Cricetulus griseus: one gene and its partners. Each later gene encodes a partner of the first gene's protein in a complex. Links are inferred from orthologs where the notes say so. Each region holds a gene or a part of one and is shown on either strand. Other genes may lie near its edges. The genes, in order: Tmem126b, Acad9, Ndufaf1, Ecsit and Tmem186.

What was found.
Region 2: Tmem126b (region 1) and Acad9 share a complex: the UniProt entries of both Homo sapiens proteins name them as parts of the mitochondrial complex. The link is inferred for Cricetulus griseus from reciprocal best matches to the Homo sapiens genes TMEM126B and ACAD9.
Region 3: Tmem126b (region 1) and Ndufaf1 share a complex: the UniProt entries of both Homo sapiens proteins name them as parts of the mitochondrial complex. The link is inferred for Cricetulus griseus from reciprocal best matches to the Homo sapiens genes TMEM126B and NDUFAF1.
Region 4: Tmem126b (region 1) and Ecsit share a complex: the UniProt entries of both Homo sapiens proteins name them as parts of the mitochondrial complex. The link is inferred for Cricetulus griseus from reciprocal best matches to the Homo sapiens genes TMEM126B and ECSIT.
Region 5: Tmem126b (region 1) and Tmem186 share a complex: the UniProt entries of both Homo sapiens proteins name them as parts of the mitochondrial complex. The link is inferred for Cricetulus griseus from reciprocal best matches to the Homo sapiens genes TMEM126B and TMEM186.

What each region holds. Positions count from the first base shown.
Region 1 is NC_048596.1:108,635,577-108,637,854, forward strand, and holds the end of Tmem126b (complex I assembly factor TMEM126B, mitochondrial), read left to right. Parts: intron 1-353; coding exon 354-465; intron 466-1,450; coding exon 1,451-1,628; 3' UTR 1,629-1,777; downstream 1,778-2,278. UniProt on the Homo sapiens protein: As part of the MCIA complex, involved in the assembly of the mitochondrial complex I. Participates in constructing the membrane arm of complex I.
Region 2 is NW_023276806.1:113,480,767-113,484,287, reverse strand, and holds part of Acad9 (complex I assembly factor ACAD9, mitochondrial), read left to right. Parts: intron 1-2,664; coding exon 2,665-2,793; intron 2,794-3,521. UniProt on the Homo sapiens protein: As part of the MCIA complex, primarily participates in the assembly of the mitochondrial complex I and therefore plays a role in oxidative phosphorylation.
Region 3 is NC_048599.1:58,829,683-58,832,091, forward strand, and holds part of Ndufaf1 (complex I intermediate-associated protein 30, mitochondrial), read left to right. Parts: intron 1-1,031; coding exon 1,032-1,217; intron 1,218-2,409. UniProt on the Homo sapiens protein: As part of the MCIA complex, involved in the assembly of the mitochondrial complex I.
Region 4 is NC_048597.1:134,979,043-134,983,220, reverse strand, and holds the start of Ecsit (evolutionarily conserved signaling intermediate in Toll pathway, mitochondrial), read left to right. Parts: upstream 1-1,363; 5' UTR 1,364-1,486; exon of another isoform or gene 1,487-1,494; intron 1,495-2,990; exon of another isoform or gene 2,991-3,105; intron 3,106-4,178.
Region 5 is NC_048600.1:38,136,638-38,140,825, reverse strand, and holds the start of Tmem186 (transmembrane protein 186), read right to left. Parts: upstream 2,811-4,188; 5' UTR 2,723-2,810; coding exon 2,660-2,722; intron 1,563-2,659; coding exon 915-1,562; 3' UTR 1-914. Other genes in the region: Pmm2 (phosphomannomutase 2), read left to right, coding at 2,935-2,988. UniProt on the Homo sapiens protein: As part of the MCIA complex, required for efficient assembly of the mitochondrial complex I.

The DNA of each region.
Region 1 (2,278 bases):
GGTCTGTTTATATTCTTGGTACCTAACATATACCTGACACATAGTAAACAATATGTGTATCTATTCACCTAGAATCCAGGTATCAGATGTGATAGTATTCTTACTGTGATATTACTTCTGTAAAAATCAACATAAATGATAATTCTCCATATTTTAAAGTATAACAAGTATAGTTTTAAAACAAGATGCATTTAAGCCTGTTAAGTGCCAGACTTCGAATTGCTAAAGTCCTTTCTGCTGTTTAATTTTGGTTGCAAACAGCAAAATAACTGTGTTTTGAAAGACAGCTGCTTCGTTATATTAATTGTTATCTTAAATCTTAAAAGGAAACAAATTGTTCTGTTACTTTCTAGGTAACTTAAGCAAGGAAAACTGTATTATGAGAAGTGTACTGATTGGTGTGGGATGTGGTATTTTATATCCCAGTGCTCTGGCTTTTCGTAAAAATGGACATTTGGCAGTTAAGTAAGTCTATCCATTCCTTCTCTTTTTCCTTCATTCTTATACCCTCCCCCACCACCACCATGTGGTGTGTATGTCTGTGTCTGTGTTGAACATTTAACCAGAAGTCAACTCCAGGTGGTATTTCTCAAAAGCTGTCTACCTGATTTTACGTTTTTGAGACAGGATCTCACTGTGCAGCCATGAATAGCCTGGAATTATGTATACCAAGAAGGCCTTGAAGTCAGAAATCTGCCTTCCTTCGAAGGTGCTGGGATTGAACACATGCCACCATGTCTATTCACCTTACATTTTTGAGACAGGGTCTCTCATTGCTCTACAGCAGTGGTTCTCAACCTGTGGATAGCAACCCTTTTGGGGGTCAAACAACCCTTTCACAATTGTTGCCTAAGATCATAGGAAAACACAGATATTTACATTCATTATTATTCATAATGGTAACAAAATTATAATTATGAAGCAGCAATGAAAATAATTTATGGTTGGAGGTTATCACAACATGAGGAACTGTATTAAAGGGTCCCCACATTAGGAAAGTTGACAACCACTGAGCTAGAGCTTGCCATTAGGCTGATTATACAATGAATCCCAGGGACCCTTCTGCCTCTGCCTCTGCCTCCCCAGCACTGGGTTATAAGCACATCACCATGTTCAGTTATTTTTTTCCATTAACCTGGATTCTGAGTATCAAACTTTGGTCCTCATGGTTACATGGCAAGCATTTTACTGACTGAGTTATCCAGCCCTTCTCTTACATTCATTCAGTCCTTCCTTCCTTCTATTGGGGGTGGGGGAGGATGCTAATAAACTATTCTTTTTAGCTACAGGCTAAACAAAACAAAATAGCCTGCTAACATGTAATTTTGTTACCTGTATGGTAGACCTATAAACTAGACCTATAAACTAGAAATGACTAGTTTAGGAGAAATCAGACGCTTTCAGTGGTGTATCAGTCCAGGAGACATGGTTTACTCTTTTTCATTTTCAGGTATCATTCCGTTCCACTGCCACCAAAAGGAAGAGTTATACTCCATTGGTTAATCCTTAGTCAAACTGGGATGAAATTAATGTCTGCTCCTCTAGTATTTCAGGCAGTCTTTGGAGTGATTCATGGCTCTCACCACCATGCTTTATGTGAAAAACTACTTGGAAAAAAGTGTGCCTGAAAATTAACCATAGAATCAGTGGAGGCCAATTCGGCAGAATGGACTTTTTTAAAAGGACTCGGGCACTGGTCAAAGAGTAAAAAGTAACTCTGCTCCTTTTGCCTAGTATTTATCAGATACTCAGTAAATATAAATGTCAAACAAGTGCACATTTCATCCTTCTTTCTTTGTTGTGTATAGAATTGGGTTTGATGAGACTGGAGAGATGGCTCAGAGGTTAAAGAGCACTGGCTGCTCTTCTAGAGGTCCTGAGTTCAATTCCCAGCAACCACATGGTGGCTGACAACCATAGGTAATGAGATCTGGTGCCTTTTTCTGGCACATGCAGGCAGAACCCTGTATACATAATAAACAAATCATTAAATAAACCTTAAAGAAAAAGAAAAGAAATGGGTTTGGAGCCTCAGGTCTTACCTATGCCAAAATAGTGTGTGTACCTGGTATGCATCAGGGATTGTGCATGTAATAAGAATTGATCCCAAAGACGTCTCAGAAGAGGAATAAGAAATATGAACACATGGTATAAGATGGTTTGAGAGATACACACATAATGTGAGGGAACCAAAACAGTAACTTTACTATTTCGGCTGATGATGTTATAGGGGAAAGTAACATGAGCTAAATGTGAAGGAGGAATTGGAAGTTCATCA
Region 2 (3,521 bases), on another chromosome or scaffold:
TGTTTCTACTCCTTTGTTCAGCCACTTTTCTGCCAGATCCATTAACTTTGGGTCATCACTATCAGTTGGGACTATTTCCCTTGGTTTCTCGGAGTTTTCTGATATACTTACTGTAATAGCAAGAGCCTCTAAGTTGATTTTCACAACCCTCTAGCTTTGGTTTTTTTTTTAATTTTTTAAATATTTTTTTTATTTTTTGAGAATTTCATATAATCTCTTTTGATCATGTACTTCCCCCTCTTCAAATCCCTTTAAATCCTCCTTCACTTCCTACACACTCAATTTCATGTTCTTTCTCTCCTTTAAACCCCCACTTCTCCCAGAACTAACCCGGGAGCCTTGTTTGTGTTGTATACCTACTGAGCGTGGGGCTTGGGTGGAGTTGGGGTGCTATGCCAGTGATGTTCCATTAAAGAAAACTGATTTCTCTCTCCCAGCTGCAATCAGTTGCTTCTTGGCTAGGTCTTATTTGTGCCCACTTCCCTTTCTCCATGTTGGGGTTTTGTCTGGCTTGAACTTGTGCAGGTCTTGTACATGCTGCTGTAGTCCCTGTGAGTTTATATGTGTATCGGTCCTATTGTCTCTGGAAACTGTTTCCTTGAAATCATCGACTACCTCTGGCTCTTACAATCTTTCTACCGCCTCTTCCGCATTCATTCCTGAGCCTTAAGAGTAGGGCTGAGTGCTTCGAAGTCTCTCCCTCTCTTCACGTTGTCCAACAACCTTTCTTATTAACCATCAGTGAACAGGAGTAAAGGGGTAATTGTGGCTTTATTTACTAAATAGTTGACCATGGAAAGCTGTATCTGAGAGGCCAAAGAGATCAGTCATCTTGGGTGGCCTAAAACGGCAGTTTCCAAGGATATGGATGCTTAAATGTTGGTGTCAGGGAAGACCTGAGAAAAGCACAGCTTGGCCATTACATGCTAAACAGCAGAAATAAACTTTGGAGCCTGGACTCAAATCCTAGATTTGCTATTCCCTAACCATGTCACCTAGAACAAGTCACTTAATATCTCTGAGCCTCCATTATTATCTATGAAATGGAGATAGTAAAAGTACCAACATAAAATTATTGAGAAAGCTAAAGGTGCTAATAAACAGCTTAGAGTACCTAACATAACATGTCACCTATTATTGGTTAGTTAATTTTATAATATCAAGGTGTAGTCAAGATAAACAGTAAAATTCCTATTGAAAACACACACAGTAAAATATATATGTGTTTAGATAGCAATTTCTTGCTTGGGTTTTTTTGTTTTGTTTTGTTTTGAGGTTGGGGAAGTTTTCTTCTGTTTTGTTAAATATTTTCTGCGCCTTAGACCTGGGTTTCTTCTTCTATTCCTTTTATGTAAATTTGGTCTTTTCCTGGATGTTTTGTGCCTGAGTTTTTTAGATTTAACATTTTCTTTGACCATTTCTTCTATCTTCAATGCCTGATATTCTGTCCTCTGTGTCTCATACTCTTTTAGCAAGGCTGACCGCTGAGGTTTTTGTTTGACTTCCTAAATTTTCCATTTCCAGTTTTATTTCAGTTTGGGTTTTCTTTAGTGGTTCTGTTTCTACTTTCATGTCTTGAGCTGTTTTCACTATTTGATTATACTGTTTGTGTTTTCACAGATTTCATTGAGGTTTATTGGTATCCTTTTTAACATCCTTGTCTTATGCTTCAACTATGTAGAATTTCTCAGGGTCCACTGTAGTAAGGTTACTGGGTTCTGGAGGGGACACATTGTCTTGACATGTTTGCATTTTTGTTCTGGTGTCTAGGCATTTATAGTTATGATATTTAAGATAATTCTAGGTGTAGGCATCTGGTCTTGTCTTTGTTGGGTATGAGTTCTGTTTCTTAGTTTCTTTTGCCCTCTCTGGATCTCAGGAAAGGATCTCTAGGCTGTGGGTTGTCTGGTACTGAGTGCTTCTGAGTCCAGGTCCTGTGTGGCCACTGGGGGTCCCAGGTAGAAAGTGTTTGTAGAAATTGGCAGATGACTTAAAGGAATGGGCTAGAAGGTAGGGTTGAGTAAGGGTCTTTTTTTAAAGCTATGATACAAGTAACAACCCCACTTTCAGCTGGACTTGAATTCTTAAGAGAGATGCTGGAAGATGTGACAGCCTAGAGAAATGGACATTGGAGAGTCTGAAGTGGTCCTGTTTAAGCTTAGGAACAGGGGCAGCTGTGTGCTGGGTGGGATTCATTTCATTCTCATGTTTTCCTTGGACACCAACTACTGACTGGTGTCCAAGAGCTGACCCTCTTCCACATGCTAACCCTAGAGCTGAGTGTCTCTATCCATAGGATGTTCCATAGACAGTGCTCATGAGAGCAAAATGGAAGTCCGTGGGGATGGCAAGAGTAATCACACTTCCTAAAGGGAAAATCTGGGTGAATTACAAAGCATAGGAGTTGGCACAAGAGACATGACACAAGTGTTGGGGATGGAACACAGTCTGGTCACTGGTCCAAGAAGGCAAAAGGACTTGACTGTGCCTACCTGGAAAGTTCCTCCTGGAACCACTCGTCTCCAAGCTCAGGTTTTCTGCACATTCTCTGACTGCATCCTGGGCAGCAGCTCCCTGTAGCTTAGGTCTTGCTCTTACAAGACTGAAGGGAATGTCTTGTGGAACACTCCCACCAGGCTCTAACCTTGTCTGGGTCTGTGACAGGTATTTAGCTCTGAGGCTGCCTGGCAGTGTGTGAGCGAGGCTCTGCAGATCCTTGGGGGCTCCGGCTACATGAAGGACTACCCCTATGAGCGTTTTCTGCGTGATTCCCGCATCCTCCTCATCTTTGAGGTGAGTGTCCCTGCCGACTGTGCTTCCCCGTACACCACCTTAGTGATGTCCCTCTGCTCTTCCAGCCTTCCGAGCCCTGAGAGAGGCTGCTAAGTCTCCAGAAATAGCCTACAATGATACAGGGCAGGCTGTATCCTCTGGTTGGACCCTCTTAACCATACACCAGTGCTCCCACCCTCCCTTGCTTTGTAGAGGGGAATTTAGACTGGGAGAGCCCGAACAGCCCCCTCAGGTCACACTCCTGAAAGCCCTTTCTACTGGGCCCATAACTTCCCAGTTGTAGTTTTGCCAAGTTACTTCTGGCTGGGCAGGATTGGATAAATCTGTAGGAGAGTAGGGGTTCCAGTCCCAGATCCCACTCTGCTTCCATTCTGTACTCCCTAGGCTATGATTTCACTCTCAGTAAATTGAAGTTAAGCTGACTCCTGTGAGCTCCAATGGAAGGTCTCCTTGGTCTTTTGGTCCCAGTCAACATCTCTGCCTTTTCAGTCAGCCACAGCCTAATAGCAGAAGGCTGGGCTGCCCAAAGAGCCAGGCATGTCTGAATTTTGTCTTGGGGTTGCCTCTCTATTGGCCCTTCCTATAGGGAGAGGCCTGGATTTCTCAAAGATCCTGGCTAGGTAGTATAGTCCAGCAGGGTTTGCTCTTGAGGCCATAATTCATAGAAGGGTGGGGAAATTTTGATGTGAGGCAGACTTTGTTCAGAGCTAAGGGCAATACCACAAGAG
Region 3 (2,409 bases), on another chromosome or scaffold:
GAGGAGGATTAAAGGAAATCAGGCATGTAAATTGTTTGAATGGGTGTTCGCTATTATTGTGTGTGTATGAGGGGGGAGGGAGGGACGAGAGTGTGTGAGCATGTGGAGGCCAGAAGGTAACGTTGGGATGTCTTCCTGTATCACTGCCTGCCTTGCTTTTGGAGACAAGGTCCTCCCCCTGAACCTGGAGCTCACAGTTTTGTCTAGACTGGCTGACCAGTGAACCCCCAGGTCTTCCTGTCTTCCTGTCTCTGTGAGTGAGGAGTTACAGGTGGATACTGCAGGATACCTAGTTTTGAATGTGGGTGCTGGGGATCTGAACTCAGGTCCTTATACTTTTGCAGCAAGCACTGAGACATCTTCCCAGCCTCTTGATTTTTAAAACCTGAGCTTGATTTTTGATGGGTAAGGTAGTTGTCATTAAATGGGCCACTCAGAAGCCATTGTGTCTTAGAACTAGGGAGGAAAATTACATTAATTTCCATTCAGCAAACACAAATGGATGTCATATGGAAGCATTGTCCTAGCTTAATCATGCCTTCAACAATTACCTTAGAAACATGTCAGTATTCTATACTAAAATACTGGTTTATTTGTCTCTTCGTGGTAGAAAATATACATGGAGCCAGGTATATAAAAATATACCTTTAATCCCAGTACTCGGGAGGCAGAGACAGGCGGGTCTCTGTGAGTTCAAGGCCAGCCTGGTCTACAGAGCAAGTGCCAGGATAAGCTCCAAAGCCACAGAGAAACCCTGTCTCAAAAAACCCCCCCAAAAAAAAAAAAAGAAAAAGAAAAAGAAAAAAATATATACATGGAATGCCCTAGTGGGTCTGGAAGATGGCTCAGTAGCTAAGGCACTTGCTGGTAAGCCTGAAGACCCAAGTTTAATCTCTGGAACCCACATGGAGAAATGAAAGACCAACAAAAGTTGTCCTCTGATGTCATATGTGCCCCTCTCCCCATAACAATACAGCATACTCGGTGGTAACTTGGTGATAACCATGCAAACTAACTTTTCTGTACCCTAGCGTTCTTTTGAGAGGAAGCAGTATTATGATTGGTCCCTGTTCAATTCTCTGTATCTCCGAGTCCGTGGGGATGGCCGGCCTTGGATGGTGAATATCAGGCAAGATACAGACTTTATCCAGAGGAAAAATCAGATGTACAGTTACTTCATGTTCACCCGTGGGGGGCCCTACTGGCAGGAAGTCAAGGTAAAATTTCAGTTCTTCACTGTTTGGGAAAATGGGGTTCATTGAAACTATGGTTACATTGTAGTTTCCTTTTTCATACTAATCATTCTTTTTTAACATTTTTTATCTATTTTTATTTTACGAGTATTGGTAGTTCATCTACATGAATGTTTGTGTGTCAGTATTGTATCCCCTGGAACTGGAGTTACAGACAGGCTTGCCATGTGGGTGCTGGGAATTGAACCTGGGTCCTCTGGAAGACCAGCCAGTGCTTTCAACCACTGAGCCATCTCTCCAACCCATACTAATCATTCTTACATAAAATAGAGGCAGAAGTAAGGGGAAATTTTTTTTTTAAGGACTTATTCTGCCTGCATATATTCCTGTGGGCCAGAAGAGGGCACCAGATCTCATTATAGATGGTTGTGAGCCCATCATGTGGTTGCTAGGAATTGAACTCAGAACCTCTGGAAAAACAGTCAGTGCTCTTAACCTCTGAGCCATCTCTCCAGCCAGTCCTTGGAGAGAGATTTAAAGGACAAATGTTTTGTTTTTCCATTAATAAAAATGAGCCAGGCTGGGTGGTGATGGTACACACCTTTAATCCCAACATTTTAGAGGTAGAGGCAAGTGCTTTCTGTGAATTTGAGGCCAGCCTGGTCTACGTAGTTAGTTCCAGTACAGCCAGGACTGCATAGAGAGATGCTAACTCTAAATAAACAAATTTATGTGTGTATGTATCGTAATTTAGGTTATTATTGTGATGAAATACCATAACCAAAAGCAAGCTGGGAAGGAAAGGGTTTATTTCACTCACAGTTCCATACACCAGTTCGTTATCAAAGGCAGTGAGGACAGGAACTCAATCAGGTCTGGTACTTGGAGGTAGGAGCAGATGCAGAGGCCATGGAGGAGTGCTGCTTATTGGCTTGCTCCTCGTGGCTTTCCCAGCCTGATTTCTTATAGAATGCAGGACCACCAGCCCAGGGATTGTACTGCCCACCATGGGCTGTGCCCTCCCCCACCAATCGCTAATAAGAGAATGCTCCACAGGCTTCCCTACAGCCTGATCTTATAGAGGCATTTTCTCCATTGAACTTCCCTCCTCTTGGATGACTTGTGTCAAGTTGCCATAAAACTAGTCAGCACTAGCCGGGTGTTGGTGGCGCACGCCTTTAATTCCAGCACTCGGGAGGCAGAGGCAGGCGGATCT
Region 4 (4,178 bases), on another chromosome or scaffold:
TGAGCTCACAGAGATCTGCCTGCTTCTGCTTCCCAAGTGCTGGGACTAAAGGCGTGTGCCACTATGCCTGGACATTAGATTACAAATGGAGTACCAATTTTCGACTGAGGGCTGTTTTTATAAGGCAAAATTGTAGGGCTGGAAGCCCGAAGATTTCAAAACTTCCGTGGTTACACAGGACAGGACAATGGTATGTGCTTCAGGCAAGGTGCAATTAAGCAGGATGCTGCAGAGGAAATGAGTTTGTTAATTATCTCCTGGGCTGGGGACTTCTACAATTGATAACTATCTGATCCTCTTTGGACCAGAGGAATGTCGACACTGCTCAAGAGTGTGATATCTGGTCCTGTGGACCTTTGTTTAACCTTGTCTGCTGGGCTGCCTTTTGGGAACTCAGAATTTTCTATTTGGGCTTTGGAGTCCAGGTTTTAGACTTTTATTAATTTTCCCCTTTCAAAAACAAGACTCCACATTCAATCATTAGACATACATATAATAATTCGATATATATGTGTTTATATACATAATCAATATTATCTATACACGCACACAACAGTTCCAGGGCATGATCACATCACCTACACATACACTCCAAAGGCCTCTCAGCCCTCAGTGTAGGCAGTTTGAAGAGTAAACCCAGACTCCCTGTTGGGGAGGGAGAGAGGGGTGCCAGGAATGCATGTCCTTTTCTCACAGTAGCCCTTGTTGTACTTATATGGCTATTTTACATAGATGAATTCAAATCTCAAAGATTCAGATTAAAGGGGGCTAAAAGTGCTTGCAACCATGCATAATGACCCAAGTTTCATCCCCAGTATCCACTTGATGGAAGGACCATTTCCCCTAAATTGTCCTCTGGCCTCCACGCGAATGTGCTCACTTAGACGCACACAAAATAAACAAACATAACTTGGAAGGAACCCTGTTAAAGCTGCTGGCGGCGCGGCCCACCTGAAGTTCCAGCTACTCGGGAGGTTGAACCCTCAGGACTTCTGGAGTCCGGGGTTTTGAGAATAGCCTGAGCACCATAGCAAGACCCTGACTCAAACAACTCAAAAGCAATTGTTTGGTAACATTAATACACCCTGGGGCTTGGGGCTGGTTGGGAGTGTGCTTGCTCAGCACGCAAGAAGCCCTGGGTTCCATCCCCACTCTGCACTGAACCGGACGTGGTGCTTCAGGTCCCTAACAGTATTTCGTCTGTAACAACTGACATTCCATCACACTTCGGGTGAGGAAACTGGACGGGACGGACTCGGCGCCGCCGCGGCAGGAACCCAAGGCCCCAGGCTCCCGCAGTTGGGTGAGGGGCAGGGATCAGTGCTCTCCCTCCTTCCTATTGGTGAGCGTCTCCTTGAGGGCGGGACCTATCGTCTCTGGCTTTTCCGATTTGCTGTCGCCTTCGGCCGGTAACCGGAAGCTCTGTGACAGAACATGAGGGCTGCCAGCGGTGGCACCTAGCCGGCTGTGTACCGCCGTCGGCCGCGTGAGTAGGTGGGTCGCGCGTGGGAGGGCGATGGGACAGTCTGGGGTTCAAGGGCGTCCACCTCCAGGCCTGGTAGAGCCGGAGAGGACAGCCTTCACCTCGGCCGCAGGGTGAGGGCCCCGTGACCTTTGGGGCTCGTGCTTGGGGACGGGCGAGGAAAGGCTGCTCGGCACCGTGTGCTTAAATGTCCGGTTTCGCGGGTGCTGGAGCAGCTCAGGGAGGCCACGCAGCCCTTGTGCGGTGAGGCAGGCTTTGGAGACCTGGGAGCGCGGCAGCCCACGCACACACGTACATACACGCCACCTCGCTGTAAGGATTCATCTGCTTATCCGTACTCAGATGGTCGGTGTTGGGCACTTACCATGTACTAGGGCACTGTCCCTGCTGGTGGAGGCATATAAATGAGAAAAACAGATTAAAAAATATATTATCTAAGAGAGGCAATTGCTGAGCAGATCGCAAACGGAGCAGATCATTTCGTGACTTCAAATAATGATTGTTGCAGTGTGTTCCATGAAACAAGAGTCTTTATGTATCCCAAGCTGGCCTCGAACTCTTTTTTTGGGGGGGGGCGCGGGGTGGGGCGGGTGTTAGAGACAGGGTTTCTCTGTGGCTTTGGAGGCTGTCCTGGAACTAGCTCTTGTAGACCAGGCTGTTTTCAAACTCACAGAGATCTATCTGCCTGCCTCTGCCTCCCGAGTGCTGGGATTAAAGGCGCGTTCCACCACCGCCTGGCTTGGCCTCGATCTTCCTGCTCCAGCCTTCTGAGTGCTGGATTACAGGCACGCACCAAGATGATAAGCAGTAGGCAGAGGGTAAAACAAGTTCAAAGCCTGTGAGACCAATAAACTTGTCTTGTTTCAGAAACAGTGTGGCTGGAGCTACAAGGATAGGGGCAGTTCAGCAGGTAGACTCCATATGAGGTCGATTTATTTATTTAATTAACTTATTTTTATTTCATGTACATTGGTTTGCCTGTATAAGGGTGTTGGATTCCTTGGAACTGGAGTTACAGACAGTTGTTAGCTGCCATGTGGGTGCTGGTCCTTTGGAAGAGCAGTCAGTGCTCTTAACCACTGAGCCATCTCTCCAGCCTCCCTACCCACCCTTTCTGATATTTACTTACTTTGAAGTTTTTTAGTTATTGGGGTGGGGTGGGACACACATGTGTGCCATGTTGCATGGTGGAGGTCAGAGGAGAGCCAGGGAGTTTTATCCATACACCTTATGCTGGTTCCTGGGATTGAACTCAGGTCATTAGGCTTGCATTGTTGCAGCAGCAAGTACCTTTCTCAGTTGAATCTTCTGTCCTGGCTCTTATTTATTTACAGTTTAGACGGGACTTTATGGTAACTCAACACTGTCATGAGCTCACTAATTACTACCAGCTGGTCTGATACTGGATGCAATTCCTCCTGCCTCAGACTCCACACTGCTGGCTTTACAGCCACAACACTTGTCTCAAGTCTTGTTTTTTTGTTTTTTTGTTTTTTTCCTTTTTGAGGTAGAGTCCTACTATGTACCCTGGTTGGTCTGGAACTTGCTGTGTCTATGTAGATCAGGCTCACCTCAAACTCAGACATCTGTCTGCCTGTGTCTCCTGAGTGCTGGGATTACAGGTATGTGCCATCACACCCAGCATTTTTATGTGTTCATGTGTGGGTATGTGGATGTATGTTAGTGCATGTACACATATGCACATGTGTATAGGAGGACAAATGTCAAACTTGGATGTTGTTCCTCAGGAGCAGTCCACTTTGTGCTTTGAGACAGGGTCTTTTCACTGGGACCTGTGGCTCACTGATTAGGCAGGCTGGCAGGCCATCGAGCTCAGGGACCTGCCCATTTCTGCTTCCCCAGTGCTGGGATTACAAGTGCATGTCACCTCACCTGGCTTTTTATGTGGGTGCTGGGGATCAAACCCAGGTCCTTGGACTTTCAGGGCAAGCATTTTACCAATAAAGGCATCTCTCCAGCCCCTTAGTTTGCATTGTTAGAGCTTTCTTTTCCAATGGAGGGAAGTAACTACTGGACAGGAGAGAGTGGACACCTATGCAGGAAAGCAAAGCCGGTCCTGGTGCTGTGACCTACAGCAAAGGGGACAGATTGGGAAGTAGTCTCCAGGACTGTTGGACAGACTGAATAAGGACATGGTGGACTCTAAATGACTCCTGCTTTATGGCTTGAATAGTGAGGAAGGGTGGTAACCCTGGCTAACCTCCAGATCAAAGGTATGTCTGTTGGTATCCCATGACTGGAGTTTGAGATGGCTGGTTTGTACCAAAATTATGTTTAGGTATGGGGTGAAAACATGAGGGAACCATGAGCACTCACTGAGAGTATTCACTGCTCTGATTAAACATGTAAGAGCCACCTATGGCTGTCACAGTGCATATTCCCACACAGGATATCTGAGTTAAGAGTCAACATTTTACAGGTCCTAGAACACAATCTGCAAAGCAAAGGTTTAGATTCTTCTTATCTAACTATATGCCAAGCAAGTATTCTACCATCAGCCCCTCACTGGGGCAGTCTAGGCAAGGGCTCTACCACTGAACCATGCCCCCAGCAGCTCACTGGGGTTCTCACTATGCAGCCCTAGCTCGCCTGGAACTTACTAAGATCTGCCTGCCTCTTCCTCCTGAATACTAGGAATAAAAGTACATTACCATGCCTGGCTCAACTAGACAAA
Region 5 (4,188 bases), on another chromosome or scaffold:
CTCTTTATACAGGCACAATTCACCTAATAAGCATGTGTGTTACCCATTATGAAAAGCAGCATACACAGTCTCCTTCAGCTGATAAGTTGCTTGGTGTCCCTCTGTCCTGATGACACTGCAAAGCTCCCCAGTTTAAGCGGCCCTGGATCTCCTGGTGGTCAGCATTCTCAGCCGGGTGCTGTCCCTACCTCAGTTGGAGTGGGCTTCAGTGCTGGCCATCTAGCTGGTGAGCACAAGGGGTGCAGGGCAGGCTAGAAGCCTTTATCGATGCTGTAAGCCTGTAATTCCACAGTCTGTGTTCCTCTGCCAACCCTCCTGCCTCTGGTTTCATAGCAGTGGGCTGCCTCTGTGACCTTGGCATAGCATTCCTCCAAGAAGTGCCTCTTCATAAAAACTTCTAGTCACTATCTGTTGGAATGTCCTATTCAGTACAATGTTCCACTAAGGGCTTTTTCCTAAAGTTGGTTAATATCTTCTTTTTTGCCCCAACACAACTTTGAACTTCTCCACCTGCCTCCATCTACATGGAGAAGTACAAACACGCACAACCATGCCTGGTTATATGCAGTTCTAGGGATTCAACCCAGGGTTTCCCTTCCTGCATGCTAGACAAGCAGTCTACCAATTGAGCTTCAGCCCCAGGCCCTGGTTATTAGCTTCTGCCTCATTAATGTTTTTGGCCTTCCTGTCTAAAATCCAAGTGTAACCAGGGCTACCAAAGGCCTAGTTGGTTTTTTTTGTTTGTTTGTTTGTTTGTTTGTTTTTTGGTTTTTCGAGACAGGGTTTCTCTGTGTAGCTTTGGAGACTATCCTGGCACTCGATCTGGAGACTAAGCTGGTCTCGAACTCACAGAGATCCACCTGCCTCTGCCTCCCGAGTGCTGGGATTAAAGGCATGCGCCACCAATGCCCAGCTTAGTTGTTTTTCTTAAGTGTGGTTGGGTTTCCAAACACTTGTGAGAAACGTTCTCTGTCCAGGATTCGGCCATAGCGCAGGGTGACATAGAAGGTCTTCTTGCTACCATATTGCTGGATTCGTACCAACAGATCCTGGGCATGTTCCTTGGATTCTGACAGGGGTATTATGTCTGACACAGCACAATACGTATCTTGTCGCCACCCAAAGAAGGACAGGTGGGCCACTCGAAGCACAGTACCTGACTCATTCACATACATGAAGCCCACCAGCCTCTGGAAGAAGTAGCTCATCCAACACAGCATGGCCAGGGTGAAGCAAGAGACTCCACTCATAAGGTAGAGTGACTTGACACTCAGGAGGCCCTGTGAGTACCAGTACAAGCCTGGGGGTAGGGCTGTCACAGTCAGAAATGTCTGGGCCAACTTCAGTCGAGATAGAAACCCAAATCTTTTGATGGCTCTGAATCGGTAGATTGTATGGAATTTCTCCGTCTCTGTGCCTGGTGGCTTCTCCTGCAAGGTGGGAGCCTTGCTAGCCACCCACCTGTTGGAATCCCCCTGCCCAGTGCAGCACCACAGCCGATGAAGAGGTCTCCCCCATGTGGCTGGCCCCTGAAATCTTGGCACAGCTCGAAGGAAGACAGACTGGAAAAGAGAGTTTCTTTCAGAATTCAACCATAATAATCACACAAGGAACAAGGCAAAGCTTCCTCCAGAAAGGCTCCAACCAACCCTAGAAAGCCATTGGGGCTTCACTTTTTGTGGAATTCTGCTCTGGATAAGTGCATACTCCTGTTTTTACAAGTAAACAAACAAACAAAGAAACCCTAATCCCAGCCAGTGAGATATCCCATAAGTAAAGGTGCTTGCCACCAAGCCAGATGACTTGAATTGCACTTCTGGAGCCAACACAGTATCGGAAGAAAAATTACTCATGCAGGGATGTCCTTGAGCCTCCACATGCCACGGCACAAGCATATGCACATTGAACACACCAGGATTTTTTTTTTTTAAATTAAAAACTAAGTCCCCTCCCCCGCAAGGGCACGGAAACTCAACAGAATGAATGGGGCCAGGTCTCTCAGGCCGGTCCTTTCCCTTAGGCAGGTCCAAGTAAACACAGGAAAGGTTTACTTTCAGACATTCAGTAAAGACCTACTGACGAGCCAGCAGTGGACTCGAACTTAGGTCCACAAGTCTGTGGGACACTTCCTCAAGGAGTAAACCAATCGGTGTCACAGTGGGAAACCCAAGCATCAAAACTTTGGGGTACTTATCACAGTACCTTTGCATTTCTCCCGACTTCTTTATACGGTAGAACTACTATCTATTAGCCTGGTTGGGAAAGGGGGAACAGCGGAGAAATGCGACACGGAGGCCTTCAAAACACTGCACAACATTTTTCTGGATGAGTAGCAAGTGAGCAAATTCTGAGCTTCAGAGTCAGAGGCGGGCTCTCACGGACACTAGCTGTGCATCCTTGTGCACCTTTCCAAAGAAAGCCTCAGAATATGCTGAGCGAGACATGGTAATCTTAGGCCCTGGACTTGATGCGCGCCCGAGGAGTCGTAGCGACTCTGACCGCCCACGTGACCCAAGGGGAACGGAGGAGGCTGGGAAATAACAGATCATAATACACTTCCCGAATCGGCGGCCCAGGCATCCTTCCTGCCAGTCCTAGGCTCGACCAGGGTCCCCTAACTGCGTACCCTCTTTCACCGCCCACTACCGGCCCTCCGTACCATGATACGGTCTCCTGCTGTGAAAAGTAAACCGACTTGTCCCCGGAAACTCGAAGAGCGCATGAGCGGAAAGTTAAAAAAAAATCCGCATGCGCAAACCAAAAACAAAGTGTTAGATCTCGGGGATTGTAGTTTAAATCTTGTGTCTATGTGAGTGTTCGGTGAGTCACTAGGGAATCATCGTTTTCCCGTCGTGCCTTGGGCTACGGGGCTCGGAATGAACCCGGAAGTTCCGGGTGGAGTTCCGGGTGCCAACAAATCTTCCGAGTGGAATCATGGCCGCGCTCTGTCTCTTCGACGTGGATGGGACCCTGACTGCCCCGCGGCAGGTAGGCGGCGCCCGGGAGGCTCGCGGCTGTGGAGCGGAGCCCGTGCAGAACCCAGACCGCGGTGACCACCGCCCGGGGACCAGGAGACGTGGGTCCTGAGCGGGGTGCGCAGGAAGACGGGGCAAAAAACGACCTCTTCCGAACAGGAAAGAGTTCGGAGTCTTAAAGTTCGGGTCTGAATTTCTTTGGGGGTCCTGGGGACTGGTGGCCCGGATTGTAACTCCAGTTTAGCCCCCCCGACCTGCTGTACCACTTTCCCAGCCCTGTCACCTTTGGCTGTGTCGTCTAGTATATCAAAGGCAGGTTTTCAGATGTCTGACCTTGAGCAAATCACTTCCTCGGAGTCCCCAGTCCACTTTAAACGGGTGTATTGCCTGTTGCATGGGGTGTGTGTGAGGATAACAGAAATTCGTGACAGTGCCGCGCCCACATCAAGCCTCAAAGAGGAGACGCTTGCACCACCCCAACCCCTTCTCTACCACAATCAGCCTTTCTGAGCCACAGTTTGAATTATCTAGTGATGGCATTCAACCACAAGTTCTCCAGAACCCTTACTCAGCTTCATTGCTCAATGCACACTTATGAGTTAAGTCGATAGTAAGGTGGGCAGGTGGCATAGGGTTTAATCCCTGCAGGAGGATTTGAGGGTTCAGAGCCTGGGCCATATAGTGAGTTTGAGGCAAACCTGGGGAACTTGCCTCAAAACAAGAGCCAATAGTAGTCTAGAGCTGGAAGCGGAAATCATATATTGTAAAGGGCTTTTGTCTTTGTAGAACATATGACCTGTAGTAACTACTCAACTTTAGTGCAAAAACAGCCATAGACCAAATGTAAACTGAGTAGCTATGTTCTAATAAATTTATTAAGAGGCCGCTTAGATGGCCCAGTGGGTAGAGTCATTAAACCCTAAGCCTTGGGACCTGAGTTCAATTCCTGGAACCCACATGGTAGAATGACAGAACCAACTCCCACAAGTTGTCTTCTTACCTCTCCTTGTACATTGTGGCACATGTACATGCGTATACATACATAATAAAAATAAAATTATTATAGAAACAAACTTGTTCAGTTGGCCCAGGAGACATAGTGGCCAGGAGTCTACATTTCTAAGCCTTTGTACAGTGTTGAACTTGCAGTTTTGCTAAGATTAAAGGTGCATGCCCCCACCACCCAGCTTCTACCATTCAAATGTAAGGAAAC